4 linked regions of the Daphnia pulex genome follow. The protein of the gene in region 3 interacts with the protein of the main gene of each other region in a biochemical or structural test. Links are inferred from orthologs where the notes say so. Each region holds a gene or a part of one and is shown on either strand. Other genes may lie near its edges.

Region 1 (3,442 bases), on a different chromosome or scaffold from region 3:
TAGAAATTCATGAATTTTATCACAAACAAGCTTTAAACAAATATTCTACAAACCCTTATATAGAATTTCAAAACCAGTTACCTACATAAAGAAAATGCAGCACTCTTCACCGACTTCCAGTTTGTTTTTGCCACGTACTCAGTCACTGTGTCTTTACTCACGTAAGCTATTTTGACAGTTCAAGTTCCGTCAGTCTTACCCCAAGCCGCAGGCTGCAGACGACGCGAGTCAAATATCGATTTCTTACATATATATTTTTTTTAATTTCCCATTTTTTTTTCTTCGTATTCAAATTAGAATTAGTGCAATTTCAGATAATCAGATGAATGAATAATCAATAATATACTGCTTACTTAAAAATAAAAAAAAATAGAATCGTAGAAATAGGAAGTTTAACCACTGTAGACCATGGTTTAACACCTGCCCCTCCCGGCCTCCCCCCCTTAAGTTCTATGATGCAACCAAATGTAATGAGCTATGATCGGTAATGACGCTATTGATAACTTGAAAAGTTAGAATTCTATTAAATTTCATAATACGGTTCTAAAACAAATGATTCACATATTCCAGGACATCCCACATTCATTTAACTGGGAAATTTAAATTTGCGAATATGTAAAAAATAATATAACAATAACCGGCGATTTTGGGAGTAATTCTAACATTTTTTCTATTCAGTGTTCAACACAGATGGAGGTGTGTAGATGGATACTGTGCGATCCCAGGAACAGTCAGCTACTTTATCAGGTGACAGGCAGCTGAAGTCGAGTCCATAGACAAATTCGCGGTGATGTGCAAAAACTTCTGGCTGAAGGCGGCGTGTATCCCAGACACGCGTGGTCATGTCGTAAGAGCACGAAGCCAAAAGGTGCGCTTGATGGGGCGAAAAGCGCAATCTTTTCACAGCATACTCATGCCCCTTTGAAGAAATGCATAAATTAGGTTAGAGAATCTGTTTTTTTTTTGTTGTTTTGCTCCACTGATGATTCAAATGAAGAATTACGATTAGTTCAAAGCATGGAGCAGTGGTATTCCTTAAATCCCAAGCTCTAATCCTGCCATCTACTCCTCCAGTTGCGATGACGTTCCGGTCATATTTTGACCAGTCACACGCTAATACTTCTGTGGCATGAGCTGTTAATTTGACTACAGGCTGACCTGATTTAGTGCTATTCCAGATACATAGAGTATGATCCCCTTCAAAACAACAGAGTTAACATTGTTATTTACTTGATAATGAAAGAGGTTCTCACCTGAGACAGATGCAAAGCAATTTGGTAAATGTGGGGACCAAGTTACATTGTAGACTAGATCAGAATGACCCAAAAAAGTGCAAATGCTCTTTGTACCCTTAGGATCCCACTACATTGTTTAAAAAAAATGAATAAATACATCATCTATTAAAGTATACAATTTTCTGGAGGTACTAGTTTTATGCTTCTGTCCCATGAAGAGCTCAGAACTAGCTGTTGTTGTCTGGTTTGATTCCAGTCTAGACAACACACTTCCCTTGAGTGTTCTTTCCACACAAGTTTTGGCACCTAAAATAGGGTTACAATTTATTATTAGTGTATCTATATTAAGGAAATGTTTAATACTTCTGGAGTTTTAAGATCCCACAATTGGATTCCTCCATCACCTGATGCTGTAAGGATTATATCTGGGTGATCTTCAGCAAATGCTAAATCGAAAAGCCCATCAGTCCATTGACTCTGAACTGCTAATGTCAAGTGGTTGGTAGGACTTAAATCAAGAACGAAGAGAAATCCAGATCCTTAGTAACGTTAAAAACGATAAATAGATGATAAGCAGTCGGGATTTTTTCAATGTAATTATCAACGATGCACTTTTCTTCATGCCTACCTGACAGTCCATAATTTTGAGAAGCTACACAGGCAATTCTTCGTTCAATAAAAGGTGAAAATTTAACGGAATAACCATGGCAGTCGTTTAGAGGAAAAGATACAAGATCCATTTTGGAAATTATTGGCTTTAAAGAAATATTTTTAACAGAAGACTTCCTTTTCAATTTTCTATTACATGTCAAGTGATTTGTTTACTTGTCAATTGATTTGATTGTTGAAAAAGACTGAAAGAGCCATCTATGGGCCAATTTTGAACCAATACTAACAGCCGCCATCTACCATAAACCTGTTGAGAATTTGTACCGTTTCAAATTCTAAATAAAAATAAGAAAAAAACATGTCTCTCTTAACATTCTTGCTGCCATTTCTTTTTGCTGCGTCAATATTTGCAAATATTGATGTAGATTCAAATGGATATATATTATACTGTCCGTGCATGGGTAATCAGTTATAACCCTTTTTGTACTTTTAGAAATCAGAAGGTTTCACCTTTAATTTGCAACATTTCTGTTTTCTAGGAAGGTTTGGTAATCAAGCTGACCATTTCCTTGGATCACTTGCATTTGCTAAGGCTCTAAATAGGACACTTGCTCTTCCCCCATGGGTGGAATATAGATTTGGGGAGCCAAAATCAGTTCAGGTTCCTTCGAACACGCTGTATTATTATAAAAAATGAATTATTCCTGTATTATCCAAAAATTCATTTTCAGGTTCCTTTCTTACATTATTTTGAACTGGAACCCCTCTCAGAGTTCCATCGGGTTATCTCAATGGAAGACTTCATGGAGAATATTGCTCCTAAAGTTTGGCCATTAAACGAAAGAACATGCAAGTTTTATAATTATATGAATTACTAGGTCTGAGTATTGACTTTGAAAATCTAATGAAAAATGTTTATACCTTTTCAGCTTTTTGTTACATGGCCAGAGGTCAAGGTACAGACTGTAATGCTAAGGAAGGAAACCCTTTTGGGCCTTTTTGGGACACTTTCAGTGTAGATTTTGTTCAATCTGAATTTTATGGTCCACTTAACTATGATGTCCATCATCAAGACATGGCCAGAAAATGGAACAGCAGATACCCTATTCAAAAATCACCAGGTAGATATTACTTAAATTCCATAGTTGTTGACTTAATCATAGATAAAGAAGACTTTATTGTGACTTAATATTAACAAACTAAATTTTTTTTTTTTTTTTTTTATTTTGATCAGTTCTTGCATTTACCGGGGCCCCTGCAAGTTTTCCAGTTCAGCAAGAAAACGTTGGACTGCATAAATACCTTAAATGGAGTCGGCGAATTGTCGACCGGGCAGTTAACTTTATCCGCAATGTACTTCCTATCGGAGCATTTGTTGGTATTCACTTGCGGAATGGCGTTGACTGGGTAAATATCCCTTTTAAGGAGGGTTTTTAGTACTTGATTTGAAAGTATATTGTTCGTCTCTTTTTTTTTATTATTATTTTTCACATTTTACTTTATTTCGAATGCAGACTAGAGCTTGCGAGCATTTGGAACATAGCCCCAACTTATTTTCTGCTCCTCAGTGTTTGGGTTACCGCAACGAGTTGGGAATT
Region 2 (4,215 bases), on a different chromosome or scaffold from region 3:
GCCCCGCGACAAATTGCGCAGAACGAAAGAGCACCGTGAATGATGAGACTCGAGAGGCTTTTCCATCTACGCATCGGCCGTCACGGGGCGAACCCACCCGACAAAAATACAGAAAAAATAAAATAAAAAAAAAGACTTTTGGTTTCTTGAACAAAAAACTTTGAGACTTGCGCAAATAGAAAGAAAGTCAAATTGCTCGGCGGTCTATTCCGACGGATAACTCCCACTGGAAAAAAATAAAATAAGAAAGACACTTTGCGAAAAAAAAGAAGAGATAGAAACAGATAGAGTGAAAGATGGGTTACGTTCGTTTTAGAAAAAAAGGTTTCTTTCTTTTGTGTGAGTGTGTGGTTGATTGTCTTGACGTCAAGACGTCAATTGAGTGCGTCTACACGTTTGTATTTGGCCGGGCGAGTAGTACATCTTTTCAATCGTGGTCAGAGTACATTTGTACTCGGCATATTTTGGTCCCACCATTTTTCCAACAGCTTTTTAAAGGGGCTCCGACACAAAATAAAAAACACACAGCAAAACAACAAGCACCTTTTGTGCGGGGCGGGCGATAACGAAGATAACAACAAGCTCGGTAACAAAGTTGTGATGAGAGCTGGACCCCCAATATAGACTTTCCATTTTATACTTCTTTTTTTAGTGTGTGTGTGTAACCCAACTACAATAAAGAGACTCTACTGGTTTCGAAAAAATGCAATTTCCCTTTTAAAAAACCATTTTTTGTTGTCCTACGATAACCAAAAAAAGCTGGAAGATAAATTGCCTAAGTGAATCTGGAAGATCTGGGTATTTTGGTAATATCGGAATGTTGTGTGCGGGTTTGGGAATTTGCGCAGCAGTTTCAGAGCCGGCCCATGACGGTGACGGGAGCGGTGGCGCTCTTGATGGACTCGGCCAACACCTCCAAAACACGATCGACGCGCTCATCGGTAGCGTTCTGTCCCATTAGTCCGACACGCCAGATACGTCCGGCAGTGGGGCCCAATCCGCCGGCAATCTCCACGCGCCTTTTTATATATTTTAAAAAGACAAAACAAAAATAAAAACGTGAATGGTTATTTCCATGGACGTAAGAAAATGCGTACGGGGCGCGCGAGAGTCACGAGAGGGGTTTAAATTTACATGGACATGGCGTGGGTGGTGACGGATTTCCAGTCGACGCCGTCTGGGACTTGAATCGCCGTGATGCACGTCAGACGGGCGGCGGGCTCCGACGCCAGCGGCTTCAGGTTCAATTTAGCCAAGCCGCTGATAAGGCGATCTCGGCTCTGACGATGGCGATTCCATGAATTCTCCAGGCCTTCGTTGGCCAGCAAGGCGAGAGCTTCGCGCAAGGCGTAGATGCTGGAAATGGGCGCAGTGTGATGGTACCTAGCGTTTGACCACACGTTACAACGTTCAAGTGGGTCATTCTAATATCAGAGGTATCTGGAAATCTCGTCGACCTCGTCTAGAGGACGACGCCGCCGCCGCCCGCCAATGCTGGCGGGCAGCAGTGGCGACGACCACGGTGGAACCACTTACTTGCGCGGTTGGCTATCGCAGCCCCAGTAGTTGCCAAGCCAATTCATGTCGAAGTAAAAAGAAGATATCGGGGTCTTTCGCCCGGCAATCTTGGCCCTAGAGAGTCAGTAGTGTAGAGTTAAAAGCGGAACGATAAGTAATCGAATGAGACTCTTACACTGCGCGAGGGCCAAATGAGATGGGAGCGGTCCCGGGCGGCGCTCCCAGGACTTTTTGAGAGCCCGTGTAAACAACATCAACTTGCCATCGATCCATGTAAAACGGCTCACCGCCCAGGGAGGCTACGGTATCCACTAGCAACAGACAATTATGCCTGCAAATAGAAGAGGAAATCAACGTCTCGCTGATAAGCTTGATTTTAATATTTAATAGATATTATTTACTTGGTACACAGGGCACCAAAACCCTCAATGGGTTGCACCACACCGGTGGACGATTCTCCCTGAGCCAGAAAGAGAACAGCTGGTTTGTGTTGCAGTAAGGCAGCTTCAATATCAGCCAAACTGAAATTTTCTCCTGCCACTTTTGTGACAGTTTGAACATCAGCACCTAATCATCAACAAACAAAAGATGAATGAATGGAGATGGAGCTTTAACGAGCAAGTGGGCATAAACTTTTACCTTGGCGGTTGGCCATATCAGCTGCTCTTTCTCCCCAGATTCCATTGATGCCAATGAGAACAACATCATTTCGTTCAATGAGATTACACAAAGCTGCCTCCATGCCTGCATGGCCTGTACCACTTATAGCAAGGGTCAGAGTATTTGTTGTTTGGAATGCATACTGGATGCCTTGTTTGACATCATCCATAATCTGCAGCAAATGAAAGATGTTTACAAATATGACAACAACAAAAATGTTAAAAAGCCACATACTTGGGTAAACTCAGTGTGAAGATGCCCCAATAAAGGCAAACTTCCAGCTTTCAATACATTTTCAGCGGCATTGGATGGACCTGCTCCCATTAACAGTTTGGACGGGACCTCGATTGGTCTTGAAAGGCACTGAGGAGGTTGATAGTCGACGGCCATGGTAACTGTGCAAGCAGCAACATAGTTCAAAATAGTAATTCATTTGAACATTGCAACAATGTTTCACGGAAATAATTTAAAGTAATGATAACCTTTGTAATTGACGCAGTAATAATGACAAGCAGTGAATCCGTTATGATCTCTTTCGACTTTGGACACGAGTTACGGCACGAACCAGCTCAATGCTATGGCAACAGTCGTTGAACATATCGTCTGCAGACATTCCGACGCCACCTGTTGAGCCACTTATATATTCGTGATATTATTCAAATAACTCTACTTTGTCAATTTAGCAGCTACCTGACTGAGCAAGTAGCGTTCGCGTTAGCAAGGGTAGTTTGTTATTTAGTTTCATTTTTGAAAATCTTTTTTTTGTGTTTAGTGTTTACCCTTATCCTGTCTTCGCAATTTTCGAATTTGTCCTTTTATTTTTACGCGCCGTCTAGTGCGAAATCAAGCAACTAAACGGTTGGGCACCCCCAGAGAAAAAAAAACCCTTTCTAAAAAAAACATAAAACTTTTTCTCTGGGCACCATTTGTGGCGCACCCCTTTGGATTGCGATGTTCCCGTAGGAAATATGAATTTATATGATGAATTTATATGTAAAAAAATATACAGTAGGGGAGAGCGGGGCTATTCCGGACGGGGGCTATTCCGGACAGCCGCCTTATCGGCCTGTTAGAAATCAATTAAGGAAATAATTTTTTACCAACTGATGCATAACAATGTTAGGTACTGGTATGCCAAGTTTGGTAAAAAAACAATGATAAATTTTAGAGTTATTTAAGAAAATCAGATTTTTCCAATAAATTTTTCGCAATTTTTCTTATTCTTTTGCTTTGATTGCGATTTTTAACATTTGAAAAATTCAAAATCTAGTTCAACTATATATCACTGAAAAGCCCATTCAATTATCTTTAAAAGTGTACGAAGTTTTTTTTGTGTGTTTTCTCGTTGATTCACAATTAACGAAAATGTCAATCTTATGTTGACGGGGTTATTCCGGACGGCAAACATAAAAATCCCGGTTGTGCTAAACAGACTGCAGAAAAAGGGATAACAAACTTTGACTATGGAGCAGTTGGACATCCTGCGCAACATGGTCGCGCACTATCTCGTCTATGCTTAGCCATGGACTACTAAAGCTAGAGGACGGGACTCACGTCCTATCCCGCCGTGTTATAGCTTGTCGGGTGGATTTTTAATCATATTTTTTGAAGAAGGGTCAATCGATAGAGATTTAAAAAGCTATTGTAAGTCTCCAATGCACATTTCTTGTGAAGATATTAAATTAAAAGATATTTGCGTTTTAATTTTTAGAGGACGGGAGAGGTGTTCGTTGGTTGTCTCCACCTAGCGCTAAGAATTCTAAACTCTTCCATGGTTTTTAGAAAGAAAACAAACAGAATCCAGAGAATCACCAGAGAATCCCAGATAGCAGACGCACCTAATCATACCAAACCAAACCAAAACCAGAGAATCACAGAGTGGTCAACCAACAATCACCGCTAGACGGCGACAACCAACGAACACCTCCGTCAATTTGTAATTAAAATATCATCGAAGTTAAATATATGTCGCATAGGGATAATTTAATAGACACTAGCGCATTTCTAAAGCTCTATTGATTACAGTAACAAAAACAA
Region 3 (4,010 bases):
AATATTGTCGGACATGACGCGCTTAGAACGTCTAGCTTGAAGGAGTAAAGCGGACACTAGATGTTCGGCTGCTTCTCTGTTTCGAGAATTTAGAAAATGTATACACTAAACAGGATTGGAGAAAGAAAATGTTAATCTTTATTACCTGTGAGCACCTAGGTTGATACAGGAAACTGCCAAGTTATAACGCGCGCGAATGAAACCAGGCGACAGCTCTAGAGCTTTGTAATATGACTCAATGGCCTCTTCAGATTTCCCTCCATTGGCTACAAATAACACGTAAATCATGCATACGTTCTTATGTAAGACTATTCTATGTAAGAAAAGCTAGTCACCTAAAGTTGCTCCGAGCCGATTCCAAAGCAAAGAATCCTGAAAATAGGAATTAACAATAAATAAAATCATAAACTTGAAAAAAGTACATGCAAATAATAAATCACCACAACTTACATTAGGTTTCATCTGAAGAGCAGCCCTGAAACAATCGGGAGCCTAAAAATTGAAGCAATGCAGCCAATTGAAAAAATCAAGAAAATCGAATAATTTCATAAATGCATCATACTTTATCAAAATCCCCAGAGAGATTGAGAAGTACGCCTAAGCCAGTTTGCACATCGGGATCTAAGTCTTGGGAAGGTTGTAATCGAGCTGCTGTTAAGTACATATCCTGAACTCGGTTAAAAGTATCCCTAGGTAGAATTTAAAACTCGGGTAAGTTTGCGCCGTAATATCACAACAAATTAGAAAATATTTCCTGTACCCAGAAACTAGGCTTGTAAATGTTCTCTCCCGTTCGTTAACCCTGGCTGATGAAGGAGAGGTCAAGTGTCCGTACTTGGGATTGTTCCGCAACCAGTCCTAATAATATAAAACCACCTTTAATGTTGTATGCCTTACACTAATTGGAAAACAATTACCTCCAGGGCTTGGCAAGCTTGCAACTGGTAAGATTCATTTGTGTAACTTACAGCCAGACCCATCATGGCAACAAGATTTGTTGGTTCCAATGCTAAGCAACGCTTGTATGCGGTAATTGCCCCTGGATCTTGTTCGTTTTCGGCAAGAGTCAACCCTAAAATAAAAAACAAGCTAACTTTACACAGAATCCTGGCATATAAATAATTAGATATTTTTACCAAGAACTTCCCAAGCTTTCACATGTTCAGGATCTTTTTTTAGAGCTGCCTCAAACAGCAAAATGGCACTTGGAAGATCACCTTCTAATCTTTTTTGGAGACCTGTATTGTAAGGATCCGCGTTGTCTTGGTACGGATTCTCTGCCTCAAATGTGTACTAAAAACCAACAGAAGTGAGAATCAAGGAACTAGTAAATACCATGCGCATTATTACTTCACTTAACGGATCTTGTTGCGTTTCCTTAAGCCATCCGTAGCTTGCAGGGTTGTCGTCGGCTGCTTTTTCCCAGTCTTGTTGAAGTTGTGACCAGAAGTCATCTTGAGCTGGATTTCCGCCCCTAAACACTTCAGCGCTGGCACCGTCTTTATATATGCAAAAAAAATTACAAGGATGAAGTTGATTAGCTACTTAAAATATATAACACTACCGCTGAATTCTTTTGTCCATTCGTCGGCCGAATCAGGTTGACGATTAGTTGTGAATTCAGCAGCCCAGTCTTGATCTGCACTGGATTCTGGCTGTCTTGTTACACCCTCTGAGCCAGAAAACTCCTCCGCCCAGTTTGAATTACTATGAGCGGTAGTAGTCCGAGGTTCCGAGGTCAAATCCTCCTCCCCTTGATTGACCTTGTGCATAAACTGCAAAAACTGAAAGCTTTTTTTCAGAAACTTTGGTCAGGAAAGGGATCATGCGCATAAAATATTACCTCAGATTGAGCAAATTTTGGATCTTTCATTCTGTCAATAATTTCTCCGGCAGTTTGGGCTAATGCGCCAGGAGCAGAAAATCCCGGTTTTTCTATATGAGAGGTTAAGCTATCCCAATGGTTGTCCCACTCTGCATAATCATCTACAACTCCCATATAGCCAGGACTGTCCAGAAACTCCTGACTCCATCCACTAGCAGAAGGTAAATCTTCTGGTATCACATGAGGTTCTTTCCTCAAAAAATCTTCAGCCCAGTTTTTGTCATCAAATGCATAATGGGCTACATTTGGTCCTGGTTGAATAGGAGGTCTAGCAATTCCTTGTGGCTTTTCCAGATCCCTCATCTCACGTAAAAGGCTATCCATGTTAAAGGCACCTCTTGATCCTACTTGAGATGGAGGTGGAATACCCTCCAAAAATTCTCTGACCATCTAGAAAATAGTTGAGATAAAAAAAAGATTTGTGAGAGAATGCTTTTTCTTTAGACAGTGAGTCAGGAATCAACTTACAACATCTTCTGGTCTCGGTTCAGGGTGTCTATGTGAAACAGGTACATCCTGACGAAATCCTTGATCTCTGGTAAAATGTGATGCTACTTTAAGCATAGGATTCCTTCCACCACAATTTCCATCAACTAATTCTCGAAACGCCATTCTAGGTACTGATGTCCGAGCTCAAGGTCTCCAAACTTCTTCCTGAATGTATAGCTACCTAAAAATACAAAACAATATATTAGTTTCTGTTACACATGTGTCATTAGAAATCATGTGTTACCTAAAAAGAGGGTCTAGCTCAAGAATGGTTCGGTAATAATTTCCCAATACTATTCATCAATATAACTTATGAAAGCAAGTTGTTAAGATATCGTGTGTATGTCTTATCACTGTAACTTCTATCACTCTGCAAAGTCACATCCACACCAATTTCGTACAACAAACAACAAAAGCCACCTAGTGAATAAAGGCCATGGTGGTATAGATGGCTCTGTCGGTCATGAAAAACATTACGACTTTTGTTCGAAATCCCGATCCGACGAGTCGTCAGCTCTGTCCTTCGTTTGGTGAAAATATTTTAGTCTTGAAATTCTGCCTAGTTTTGCCTGTCTATTGTAATTACTCAATACATTTAGTTTGAACATGTCAGCGAACGACGAATTAGTTGCCAATTTCCGGGAAGTAACTGGGATTGATGAACAAAGGGCTCGTTTTTACCTAGAGTCATCCGGTTGGCAATTAGAAGTATACTAAGACAGATTAAGAACAGTTATGAGCATTCAATAAATAAATCACTTTGATTCTCAGACAGCCCTTGCCAGCTTCTTTGAAAATGATGGAGCTATGGACAGGCAAGCTGGAGATGGAGAAGATGAACCTGTTGAAGTTCCTTCAAACCAACTTCCAGAACCCCCATCAAGGTATTAGTTAATATGATTTTTCACATACTGTAGTGCAGACCAAATTTTGAAAATTTAATTATAGAGGTGCTGCTGCTGTCCATAAACTTGTAGAAATGAATAGTTCTTCTGATTCGGATGAAGAGGGCCAAGCTTTTTATGTTGGAGGCTCTGAGAGAAGTGGTCAGCAAGTCATTGGTCCACCACGTAACAAGGGAAAGCCTTCTGGAGATCTCATTGGAGACATGTTCAAATCAGCCAGAGAGTGGGTTTACTCTTTGAGATTATTACAAGAAAAATGTATTAACATTTTCTGGATCCTAGGCATGGAGCAGAAGTTTTGGAAAAGGGGGCCTCAACCTCAACCAAGGGTAATCAAACATTTAAAGGAACTGGATATCGTCTAGGGCAGAGTGAAGAGGATACACAAGGTAGTTATCTTTGCCATGAAATAACAGCACCATGACATTTCTTCAAGCATAATTCCTTTCTATAGTCATACCAGGCGCACGACAGCCTGAACAACCTAGGACCGTTGTGCTAAAATTATGGAAAACCGGCTTCAGTTTAGATGAGGGTCCAGTGAGAGACTACCAAAATCCGGCAAACAAGGACTTCCTTGAATACATCAAACGCGGGTAATTGTGCATTCTACGTTTTAAATATGAATAAAACAATTGTTTACAAATTTCCTTACAATTTGTCCATCATTAGAGAAGTACCCATGGAGTTGATCCGTGAATCTCGCGGCCGTGAAGTGCATTTGCAAATGG
Region 4 (3,825 bases), on a different chromosome or scaffold from region 3:
GTTTTCGCTTGGACTCCTTATGCCTTTGTGGCTCTCACAGCCGCTTTTGGAAATAGGTGAGATAATACTTTCAACAAATTTGTTCTCAAATAAATCACCATCGTCATCTTTTCACAGGTCCGTCCTGACACCACTTCTGAGCACGGTGCCTGCCTGTTGTTGTAAATTGGTATCCTGCATCAACCCATGGATCTATGCAATCAACCATCCCCGTTATCGGTAACACATCTTATTCATAGTGAAATGACAGTCATTCTTACCACATTTTTCTTCATCCTTTCAGCATGGAACTGCAGAAGAAAATGCCCTGGTTCTGCATTCACGAGCCTGTTCCTACCAACGACGATTCGAGCGTCGGTTCGGCCACGACAGAAATGTCTGGTGTCTCCAAGGAAACTTCTTCGTAAAATCTGCATAGCCTTTAATTATTTTGACCAAGGACCGAAACAGGATCATGAACATAACCTTCCGAAGAAAAAATCATCCATAGCAATTAGTAGTAGTTTTAATATCCCACAATATATATTGATTTGTTGAATTACAAATAAACAAACCCAGCATAACAAAAAGGAGTCATCATCACTTAATCGTACGATTTCGTCAACATTTGAGCGTTTCCTATTCACAAGCCTCTAAAAATTGGGGTAAAAAAAATTTGAATAATTTCACAAAGGCCGCCAATAATTTCAAACGCCTTAAATGTTTTTGAGGCTTTGAATATGAGTAGTGGCCCAACTCCATGACTGATAAAAATATAGCTCGAAATAACTGAATGGCATCAAACAGCTAACAATTTACTTTTGGACAAGGTTATTCCTTTGGTTTAGCTACTGTATATCAGTCAAATGAATTATTTGGGAGTCGAACTTTCGTGTTTGGCCAAAATTTTGATGTAATTCGCAGGTACGAGGCCCGTGTGTTGTGAATCGGTGCCGGCAAGCATCCAGCCTTTGATGCGAGGCTGAAGGGAACGGGGAGCCAAGCGTAGGGATTGGCCAGCTCTGAAACTTAATTCTTGTTCGTTTCCGGCATTGAAATCATAATCTGCCTGAGCAGTATAATATTCTCCTAGGCCATCAGCCCACTTTTTTCCTAGAGCATTAAAAGATTAGATAATTTGAATAAGCGAGTTTATGAAACAAAAGTTAGTGTGTTAACGCACCTAGTGCATCCGGAGCACTGTCTAGGGAAGATATGATCCTCCATATGAAATATGGGGCAGAAATGATTATGGCAAGGAACAAGGTGATGGGCCATGATGATCTGGACTTTTTAATATCAGCTTCAGTCAATAGACCCGCAGATAAGGCATCCGAATTTGATACGGCAGTGGACCATGCCGTATTGATTGGATTTTCTCGTCTCAAACCTGTAAACACAAGGGGGTTTAGTTGATAACAATGGCTGCAACTACTGCGTCGAGAATTTGCATAATCAGACATACCAAATATGTAGAATAATTTGTGTAGAGCCCATTTTGCCGTACGAAATATGGCCAATGCAGAAAACACCTTGCTTAAATGTGTTCGCATTCGGGAAAACTGATCAGCCATACCCAATACGGCTCTGAAAGAGCTGTAAACAGCATTCAAGGTTGAATCCAGCATCATGCTAATGGAGCTAAATGCATGGACAATTGATTCCAAGCTCTGAAATGCAGGTTGAGAACTCTCTTCTGCCATGGAAATAAACCTTGTTTGAGAAAAAATAATGAAATTGTTGAATTGTTGTAAGTATGATTATTTTAATTTTTAAAATTTTACCTGTTATCACTTGTCCCTCCATAACTTCTCCCTCCATAAGAGTTGTAACTTCCATATCCACCATAGCTGTTACCATAGCCTCCATAACTAGTACCATAGCCACTAGAAAGTCCCGAATAACCCCCATATCCACTACTGTAACCGTAAGGGCTTGAATAACTTGAAATGCCTGTTCGATATGGAGAATAGCTTGAAACTGCACCATAATCATTGTTTGTTGGGTTTGCCCCGGGTACTCTAGGAGGCAGTGGTGGGACGCCAGGCCCTGAAGCTGTAAAAGCACTTCCTCCACCCCCACTAAAATAATCAAAACAGATATTGATGAAGGTAACAAACCAAACAAATGAACTAAACACAACATGTATTACGCACCTGACGATGGGTGTAGGTAAGGTGTTGCCAATGTCGCCACCAAAAGCTCGTGAATTTACACCAGCCCTTTCCCACGGCTTTAATGGAGCTGCCATGGCGTTGAACGATTCAGACTAAAAACTCGAAGACTTTGCCTCGATTTGCTGATAAATCCAGCGAACTCTGATACAGAAAACGGAATCGACTTGTCAACAACAAGACGACACCATTATAAAAATTCCGAAACGAATGAGATGAGTTTGTACACCGGTAGATGGTAGTAGTGTGAAAATTTCTTTCAATTCAAAAATCTGCCGCAAACTTTTAAATACGTTAAGGATATAACTAAGTAACAATACACACGCGTTGATGCGTAATATCCTTGTCTGTTTACTTTTACTGTTTTGAAATTAAGTCTGACGACTATTTCAAATTTAATCAGATTTATTAATATCTTTTTTTTTACTGCAACATATTCAACATAATCGACAATGAAGTTTGATTATAAGGAATGATTCGGATGAAGCTAAAATGCTTGGGAAACCACTCAACATAATCTAAACATGTCAGGGATGAAGAAAGGGAGAGAGAGAGAGTGAAAAAAAGTTGAAGTAGAGAGCACATCATAAATAGGAATTGAAGAAAAAGGTTCTCGGATTCACGCTGGCAAGCAATCACTCCGGTGAGATTGAATTTCTATTCGTTGTCGTGCAGCAGCCAATTATTGGAGCTGCCTAAGGCTATAGGATTGGGGAAGGAGGAGAGTTGGGAATGGCCTCCAAGTGCCTGCACACAGCAGCACAGCTCTCACCAACCCGGTTCTCTGGTAGTAGTTGTGTAATAATTCTGCTGAGTGCGGTCGTGAAGCGTGCGTGATTCCTGATGTGTATTCAACCACCATTGCCCACCCCCCTATTCAGCCAACGTCGACTGCCAATAGGTTTCATGAACGCCTGCACGGCAGCGTTATGTAAAGAACTCGGCTCTGAATAGAAACTGCTAAACATCTCACTGAATAGTTGGGGCAGTCATTTCATAACAAACCCATCAAATCAGGTTCTCTTTTTAAAAAGTTATGAACGGAATCCTCCACAAAATCAGAGAGCAACGAGAAGAATATTTGAACAACAAAATCCGAGAATTTTCGAAGGATTGAATCTATAACAAACAAACTCTCCAACGTGAAAATTTCTCGATAAATATTCACCGTGAATACGACCATCATTAGATTGAAATGTAGTGGGCGTTATGAAAGAAAGTGAATTCATCTAATGCATCCTCTTGATCTTATAGCCCTGGCGCAACGTAGAATACCGTGCCTAAATATCTGGGCTGCGGTTGTTCATTCCGACCATCTGCATCTTTTCCGATTAGCCTTAAAAACGAGGAAAATAAATATTCAGCCAGACATCCCCATCAGCAGACATTACACATTTACCAGGACTGTGTCCACACATTCTGGTGTAAAGAGTGAAGCGAAAAAATCGGCAGCACATAGTAACCAACAGTGATGTTATTACCATGATAAACGCGACGAAAACTGCAGCTGGCACTGCACTCTGCATGCGGCGCTTCTGCTGTTATTGTCCCGCCATAACTGTGTAATTATCAAGTCAACAACAGCACACACATTCCTTTTCTCTTTCTCTCTCCCAGCATGGCGTATAGATTTATTTACTAATATTCCAACTATAGTATATTAGGAGCCGCA

The links.
Region 1: the proteins of peroxisomal targeting signal 1 receptor-like (region 3) and peroxisomal targeting signal 2 receptor-like form a complex in vitro, tested with the Homo sapiens proteins (3 studies listed by BioGRID). The link is inferred for Daphnia pulex from reciprocal best matches to the Homo sapiens genes PEX5 and PEX7.
Region 2: the proteins of peroxisomal targeting signal 1 receptor-like (region 3) and alanine--glyoxylate aminotransferase-like are reported together in a solved structure, tested with the Homo sapiens proteins (2 studies listed by BioGRID and IntAct, with this or other methods). The link is inferred for Daphnia pulex from reciprocal best matches to the Homo sapiens genes PEX5 and AGXT.
Region 4: the proteins of peroxisomal targeting signal 1 receptor-like (region 3) and peroxisomal membrane protein PEX13-like form a complex in vitro, tested with the Homo sapiens proteins (3 studies listed by BioGRID). The link is inferred for Daphnia pulex from reciprocal best matches to the Homo sapiens genes PEX5 and PEX13.

The regions. Positions count from the first base shown.
Region 1 is NC_060018.1:847,306-850,747, reverse strand, and holds peroxisomal targeting signal 2 receptor-like, read right to left. Parts: upstream 2,088-3,442; 5' UTR 1,976-2,087; coding exon 1,864-1,975; intron 1,775-1,863; coding exon 1,599-1,774; intron 1,542-1,598; coding exon 1,428-1,541; intron 1,363-1,427; coding exon 1,254-1,362; intron 1,198-1,253; coding exon 1,004-1,197; intron 920-1,003; coding exon 671-919; 3' UTR 501-670; downstream 1-500. Other genes in the region: GDP-fucose protein O-fucosyltransferase 1-like, read left to right, coding at 2,203-2,305, 2,384-2,505, 2,576-2,693, 2,774-2,965, 3,079-3,251, 3,359-3,442. UniProt on the Homo sapiens protein: Receptor required for the peroxisomal import of proteins containing a C-terminal PTS2-type peroxisomal targeting signal. Specifically binds to cargo proteins containing a PTS2 peroxisomal targeting signal in the cytosol.
Region 2 is NC_060018.1:10,707,093-10,711,307, reverse strand, and holds alanine--glyoxylate aminotransferase-like, read right to left. Parts: upstream 2,801-4,215; 5' UTR 2,661-2,800; intron 2,576-2,660; exon of another isoform or gene 2,574-2,575; 5' UTR 2,569-2,573; coding exon 2,413-2,568; intron 2,351-2,412; coding exon 2,158-2,350; intron 2,086-2,157; coding exon 1,920-2,085; intron 1,850-1,919; coding exon 1,694-1,849; intron 1,633-1,693; coding exon 1,537-1,632; intron 1,384-1,536; coding exon 1,135-1,383; intron 1,020-1,134; coding exon 854-1,019; 3' UTR 379-853; downstream 1-378. UniProt on the Homo sapiens protein: Peroxisomal aminotransferase that catalyzes the transamination of glyoxylate to glycine and contributes to the glyoxylate detoxification.
Region 3 is NC_060028.1:9,644,642-9,648,651, forward strand, and holds the start of peroxisomal targeting signal 1 receptor-like, read right to left. Parts: upstream 2,801-4,010; 5' UTR 2,619-2,800; intron 2,556-2,618; 5' UTR 2,498-2,555; coding exon 2,354-2,497; intron 2,276-2,353; coding exon 1,844-2,275; intron 1,785-1,843; coding exon 1,565-1,784; intron 1,500-1,564; coding exon 1,351-1,499; intron 1,294-1,350; coding exon 1,137-1,293; intron 1,073-1,136; coding exon 918-1,072; intron 859-917; coding exon 761-858; intron 690-760; coding exon 563-689; intron 493-562; coding exon 451-492; intron 373-450; coding exon 336-372; intron 267-335; coding exon 146-266; intron 77-145; coding exon 1-76. Other genes in the region: NSFL1 cofactor p47-like, read left to right, coding at 2,981-3,082, 3,146-3,258, 3,323-3,502, 3,562-3,668, 3,734-3,875, 3,952-4,010.
Region 4 is NC_060017.1:2,686,771-2,690,595, forward strand, and holds peroxisomal membrane protein PEX13-like, read right to left. Parts: upstream 2,361-3,825; 5' UTR 2,231-2,360; coding exon 2,136-2,230; intron 2,061-2,135; coding exon 1,764-2,060; intron 1,693-1,763; coding exon 1,445-1,692; intron 1,370-1,444; coding exon 1,163-1,369; intron 1,093-1,162; coding exon 851-1,092; 3' UTR 501-850; downstream 1-500. Other genes in the region: opsin, ultraviolet-sensitive-like, read left to right, coding at 1-56, 118-219, 284-407. UniProt on the Homo sapiens protein: Component of the PEX13-PEX14 docking complex, a translocon channel that specifically mediates the import of peroxisomal cargo proteins bound to PEX5 receptor.